Linked DNA regions of Danio rerio. The main gene of each other region encodes a partner of the protein of the gene in region 2 in a complex. Links are inferred from orthologs where the notes say so. Each region holds a gene or a part of one and is shown on either strand. Other genes may lie near its edges.

Evidence for each region. The genes of interacting proteins can lie anywhere in the genome.
Region 1: nsmce1 (region 2) and nsmce2 share a complex: the UniProt entries of both Homo sapiens proteins name them as parts of the SMC5-SMC6 complex. The link is inferred for Danio rerio from reciprocal best matches to the Homo sapiens genes NSMCE1 and NSMCE2.

Annotation. Positions count from the first base shown.
Region 1 is NC_133191.1:26,965,713-26,968,822, reverse strand, and holds the end of nsmce2 (E3 SUMO-protein ligase NSE2), read right to left. Parts: intron 733-3,110; coding exon 621-732; 3' UTR 573-620; downstream 1-572. UniProt on the Homo sapiens protein: E3 SUMO-protein ligase component of the SMC5-SMC6 complex, a complex involved in DNA double-strand break repair by homologous recombination. Is not be required for the stability of the complex.
Region 2 is NC_133178.1:43,206,968-43,211,153, reverse strand, and holds the start of nsmce1 (non-structural maintenance of chromosomes element 1 homolog), read right to left. Parts: upstream 2,884-4,186; 5' UTR 2,819-2,883; intron 725-2,818; 5' UTR 703-724; coding exon 585-702; intron 1-584. UniProt on the Homo sapiens protein: RING-type zinc finger-containing E3 ubiquitin ligase that assembles with melanoma antigen protein (MAGE) to catalyze the direct transfer of ubiquitin from E2 ubiquitin-conjugating enzyme to a specific substrate.

The DNA of each region.
Region 1 (3,110 bases), on a different chromosome or scaffold from region 2:
AAGAATCATATTGTAGATCATATTGATCATCATATTGGATCAGTCCTGGATGGCCGGTGTCCACTGCAGTTGAGCTCCAAGACCAATTTGACACACCTAAGCCAGCTAATCATCCTTTAAAAAGCATACTAGAAACATCCTGGTAGGTGTTTTGAAGCAAGTCGGAGCTACACTTTGCAGGACGCTGGACCTCCAGGACTGAGTTTGTGCAGCCCTGGTTATAATTGCTTGCTGCAGTTTGAGGTCTGATGCCTAGTGCTGAAGCTCCTGAAACCATTCTTACTCTGTCAAAAATGTATCATCAGCTGGGAAAAAAATTGTTTGAAAACTTAAGTAACGATTTAACATTTTTAAAGCTATATATTTGTCATCGTTGCCATCCTATGTTTGATGATGGGTTGTAGAATAAAAGATGAGACGATATGAGAATGATTAAAAACATTTTTGGAAAACGTCATAACTGACAGTGCAATAATATTTGTATTACAAATGTAAACTTTAAATGTATATAAACAATAACATGAACCAAATTTGCATTCAGTTCTAGCTTTCAGGGATTTTTCTAGAACAAACCATGCTCCCAATTCAGTGAGAACAGCCATAACATCTGCATGATAGTTTTAGGTTTTTCCGCTCTGTCTCTTCTGGTTCTGGATCATTCTCTTCATAATCAGGTCCAGCTCAAGATCTGACTCCTGTACATCTGCATTTCCACAGCCAACCTTTGGACAACTGTGAAGAAATATGGGAAAGTGGCATTTTTACATTATTCTGCAAGTTACTGTTCAAAAGTTTGTGGTACACATCATTTTTACCAAATTCCTAATATTAATTTATATATTAGCTCAACAAAAAAAAGTTATTATGGAGAGAGTTAGTTTTTTGACTTAATATAGTCTTTTTGGCCAATCAAAATAGACACAGTGTGACGTTAACATGAAACCATGCTTTATTCACTCTAAAGGCAACCATATAACACGGTCTCAATTGTTTATCCCCTATGCCATTTACTCTAAAAAATAGTCACTGTATAGACGACTTCACTGCAAATGTCACAGTTGCCTGTATGCTGACTATACATTTTTTTAGGTTTGTTTGCCATAGACAGGTGAGCATTACAGTAGCCCTGCTTTCAGGGGACCCTCTCTGTATTATTACGATTGCATTAAACATGGCAGATCAAAAAAAGGTGTTGCTGGCAATCATTTTTTGCTATTTTATATTGAACCTTCATATGACAAATTACAGTCATGTCTTGTAGGAGGGTCGACACTTTAGATACTAGAGAGCATTTGATTGGTCTAAAGATTCAAAGAGAAGCTGTGATGTACGGTTTTGTCATAAAAATAGTTGATTCTGTGATGAAAAATTGTCAGAGAAAACTATTCTAGGATTTTTTTTTGATTAATCGCTAATCAACTGAGCTTAGTTTTTACCTGCAGATTGTGCTGTATGCTTTACAAACAGCCATACTCAGCTTGCATTTAATTCCTTATAAGTACTACGTGAACCTAAAATAATCAGTGATAAATTTAATGAAGGTTTAAAAGGCACCTATGATGAAAATAAAATTTTGTAAGCTGTTCGGACAGAACTGTCTGCCGATGTAGTGCGTCTACTGTCATACTGGGGTGATATAAACCCAACATGTCTCTTTTTTTTTTTTTTTTTCTGACGTTAAAATAGGATCCATATCCCAGTGATTTTAAGGCCCACCACAACGTGATGTAGGAGTGCAATTTTCCCCACCCACCAAATGGACTGACAAGTGCCACATCTTCATGAGAACATGTAAACGCATGTCAACAGACCATTTTCTGCAAAGAAACTGGGATTAAAACATATGTTAGAACTCTGTGTGATCAGCTGCACCTCAATGATTAAGTTTATAAGGTTATAACGTTTTTAAAACATGCATGCTTGTGATAAAGAGAGTAAAATCGGCATGTAATTCTTAACCGCCATAATCACCACGGCCTCATGGTGGCAGTAAATGCTATTATATGTGTGCATATGCGCATGTACTGCAAATGGCATTTGTGTGTGACTCATCGTTTCAGAAAGGCTTGAATAATCTCCACCACAAATACATCAATTAAACCTGGTATTTTTGACTAGTGGCCTTATTTCAGCTTCATCCATGGCTGCGTCCGAAACCACATACTTCCATACTATATAGTACGCTAAAATCAGTATGCGAGCCAAGTAGTATGTCCGAATTCATAGAATTCGAAAATCAGTATGCGAGAAGTACCCGGATGACTTCCTACTTCCGGCAAGATTCTAGAGTGCGCATCCCATGCATGCTGTGCTATACCATGATGCCCCGCGAGCGAAATCATGAATGGGAGTAAAGCGACACAATTGACGCAGGTCAGATGTAGTACGTCCGAATTCCATTCATACTTTTCACGTTCATACTGTATAGAACGTACTTTTCTAACGGCCGAGTAGTACGTTTAAATTCAAATGCAGTACCTACTGAGTAGTAGGCGGTTTCGGACGAAGCCCATGTCTTTATCCAGCCAGACACACATGTCGAAGCAGAAAATTTGGATTTAAAGTCACAGGCTACACAAACAGCTACAAAGTAACGATCTGTGTGGGACTGAAATTTTAATCCCACTCCTGCCAAGTTTTATACCGCACCCGCCGTATATTCAGTCTTTGTCCACCCGCTGCCCGACCCGCCCTGTTTTCTACCCGAGCCAACCGTTCCTGCTAAATTTAGATCTGGTTTTCAAAATCTCACGTTAAAATTGGGCACTACCAAGAGAGATATGACAGAAAAAAAAGTGTATGTTGTGCAGGGAATGTAGGCAAAATGTCAGTTTTGTTTGCCCCTTTGCGCGGTGAGGTTTGTGGCTAGTGAGGCACTGAGTCCTTCAAAGTCAGATTTACAAACATATCCACTCAATATATTTCACAACTACCGATTGTGTTTTATAGATCATATCAGCATTATTTCTATACACCTAGCAGGTACATATTGGGCCACGAAAGAATGTAAAGTGGTTAAATAGGCCTCCCAAAAAACCCAGCTGGATGTTACAGAGTCCAGTCAGGCTATTACAAGCGATACACACACAAAGAGCACCACAGTGGATTTG
Region 2 (4,186 bases):
TCGGGTTTTCTCTGCGTTATAATCTGCTATATAAATAAACTTGCCTTGCGTCACCACAGCTGTTTCCTCCAGCAAAAAGTGTAACTCTTAATGAGCATTTCATTCATTCATTCATTTTCTTGTCGGCTTAGTCCCTTTATTAATCCAGGGTCGCCACAGCGGAATGAATCGCCAAATTATCCAGCAAGTTTTTAGCAGCGGATGCCCTTCCAGCCGCAACCCATCTCTAGGAAACATCCACACACACATTCACACACACTCATACACTACGGACAATTTAGTCTACCCAATTCACCTGTACCACATGTCTTTGGACAGTCGGGGAAACTGGAGCACCTGGAGGAAACCCACGCGAACGCAGGGAGAATATGCAAACTCCACACAAAAATGCCAACTGAGCCAAGGCTCGAACCAGCGACCCAGCAACCTTCTTGCTGTGAGGCGACAGTACTACCTACTGCGCCATTGCTTCACCACTTTTGTGTACAACTGAACAAAAAAAACTCAAACTGGTTTGAAATGATGACAGGATTTTCATTTTTGGGTTAACTCTATCCCTATCAGCGCAAGTGTTTTCTTCATACCTCCATGGAGCTCGCAGCACTTCTTGTGGAGCATTCCAGCCTGAGCTGCACTGACGATGCCGTTGGTCATCATGTTCTGCAGGAACAGCCTATGTCCGTCACCCATCTGTCTAGACATGACTGCTAAATGTCCTTTTCAGCTGGAAAACACATGTGTAGATAAGCTAAATTTCCCAAACTCAAGCAAACATGAGCTCAAATCGACATAAAACAAGTAAACCTACATGATATACCAACATAAAACTTTTATTGACATTTGAGTAGTTTAAAATAATATAACATAAAAAATAATATAGAGAAATAAACCTGTAAAATAACAGACAACTAGACAATATCTAACTTTTAACTATTAAAAGCATTTAAAAAAGTCACTTTTTCCACCTTTTTAAGGTTAAAAGTGATGAGAAGAAAGATCAAGGTCTCACAATGCAACTCAAAAGCATAAATAATAAAAAATAAATAAATACACAAATCACAAAATATGGGAACCCGTACTATAGTAAAGCACTTTACATTATTTAGCAGAATTAATCTGCTGTGGTAACACAACACCTTTGGTGATATAAACAAATTATCAAATAACGTTAGGGCTGTGCAATTAATTGAAAATACGATTTCGATTTTGGCTTCTAACGATTATAATGAACCATTAATCGAGATAATCGATTATTGCATCATATACCGCCGCCTTTCCAGTTGTACACATTAAAAGTCGAAAGACTGTGTGCTTATGTGTGTGTTTGTGCAGCGCACACACAGTCAGAAGCATGCGGTCAGCATTCGTCTCATCCGTACACTGAGACGAGCAGAGCGCACACGTCTTAAGTCATTAACGTGAGCGCTTTAATGGTCAAATAGGTGTCAAAACGCAGAGTGATTATTCATATTAACCCTCATTTGTGTAATAAACAAATGAGTTGGGAATCAAAAGACACGTGAAAGAGAAACCATTAAAGTGACAGAGCGATATTCCTTGTGCCGCCTGTTTTTATCATTATTAATAAAACAACAAGGAGAAAATCCACTACTGCTGTTGACTGAAGGACTTTTGTAGATAAAGTTTTTTTCTTACAGTGAAGATGCTTAAAGCAAAGTTGGTTTCATATTTTTATTCTATTGTATTTATTTCTCTTTCCTTTGAAGGTTGGAAAATAACTATATATATATATATATATATATATATATATTTATATATATATATATATATATATATATATATATATATATATATATATACACACACACACACACACACACACAGTTGAAGTCAGAATTGTTAGCCCTCCTCAATATTAGAAACCCTTTTCCCCCCAATTTTTGATTTATGGAAAGAAGTTTTTTTCCAACTTATTTTTAAACATAATAGTTTTCATATCTCATTTCTAATGACTGATTTCTTTAATCTTTGCTAAGATGACAGAACATAATATTCTACTAGACATTTTTCAAAATACAAGCATTCAGGTAAAAGTGCAATTCAAAGGCTTAATTAGGGTAATTAGGCAAGTCATTGTTTAACAGTAGATTCTTCTACAGACAATCAAAAAAATGTTGCTTAGGGGGCTAATAATATTGACCTTAAAATGGGTTTCAAAATATTTAAACCTGCTTTTATTCTAGCTAAAATAAAACACATAAGCCTTTCTCCAGAAGAAAAAAATATTAGAGGAAACACTGTAAAATTCCTTGCTCTGTTAAACATCATTTAGGAATTTTTTTTTTTCAATTCTCAGGAGCGCTAATAATTTTGACTTCAACTGATAATCGTTTTGAATAATCGTGATTACAATAAAGGTCAAAATAATTGTGATTAAGATTTTTCCCAAAATCGAGCAGCCCTAAATAACGTTACACTGTTTTCTACAACAATGTGGCATGTTATTTGACGTTACCACTAAGTTACAATACACCACAGTTTAGTGTAGTAAAATCTTAAGTAACGTAACATTATACTAATGTTACAGTATTTATTATTTATAAGTAGCTAGCCTTCATTTTAAAGACTTTTAATTATATACTATAATATATAAGTATAATACTCTTCACTATAGTTCGGTTCAAAAACACTGTGGTATTTTTTAAAAAACATTTTAAAAGTACTACACATGTACTATATTTTTGTATGGTAACATTTGTAACTCAATGCGAAATTTGAAATAAAATAAAACGACAGAACACTTGAAGAAAGACGAAAGTGTTTCGAGTAAAGCGACGTTTGTTTCTCATATACAAACCTTTGTTTTTAAATGTACAGACGAGCTGTCAGTTCGTGTAATATTCGCGGGTTCCCACTAGAAACACTTCCGGCCACGTGGTATGCGTTCTTCTTCTTCTTCTTCTTCTTTGAGTCCTCAATGGCAGATGGCGTCCTTTTTGTTGCATTACTGCCCCTTCTGTACAATTTTTTTTCCCTTTGTTGAGTCTTGTAGTTTTTTAAAGTTTCCCTTAAAATTCCAGGAAGCATTTCTTTTTTGTTTTTCGGCACATGCTACTTGTGATATTTACTCATCTGTTGGGTCATCATTTCTTGCCTTTCTTTTGTACATTTCCTAAAAGACACCAGCCTACGTATACAGTAATAGATAAATGCATATAGTTCATGTAGTTTCATACTTGTTAAATATTATTTGTAGAAAAATTTTTTTTAGTTTAGATTAAGTCAACATCACATTGTTGTACTCATGATATAGTATTGTATTTATTTAGTTTAAAAATAATTTTAACAAAATCTACTTTAATCATTTTAATCTTTTTTTTTTTACTTATTTGTAAGTGATTATGCATTAAACTAAAATTAAATATTAATTCATTCATTTTCTTGTCGACTTAGTCCCTATATTAATCCGGGGTCGCCAAAGCGGAATGAACCGCCAACTTATCCAGCAAGAAAAATATCAATATAATGTATTTATTAATATAATTAAATAAACTATTTTACGGACCAACTAACACTCCTATTTGGCCCTCAGGGGCCCCAGTTTTAAAAAAAATATTATGATAACTGACTTATATAATGACCTGCAAATCAGCAAACACGACAGGCAGCATTTGAGAATGATGATGGAATACATCCGTTTAACATTATTCAACATATTATCACCACTCACAGAGTCCAAATTATTATTATCCTGAACAGCAGCACATCACACTGAAAAAAATTATACAGAGATGATTCTTTGGATTTGCTCATTTGTTTTTTACGTAAAGTGGTTGTAAACAATTTATTTGTGTTGAATTTAAACAAACAAATTAAGTTGAACATTATTAAACTTAATTTTTGCAACAGTTCTCCATGTAACACTTTTTGAAAAATGCTGTTAATTTACTCAAATACCATTCTTCAGAGTATTACAGAAGATTTTCTTTTTATCTGAAGCACAGATTCTTTGGGATTGAGCCTAAAATTAATAAACAAAATTAAAAAAGATAAACCTAAATTTCTGGATCCTCATTAATTATGCGGATATTAATTTTGGTTTGCACATATGTAATTAACTGATAAAAGAGGAACACACACTCACAAATAACATTTGCTGTTTGTTAAAAACTTTTCAAATTTAAAATGAGCTGAAAAAACACAAATCTTGAGATTTTTTGAACTT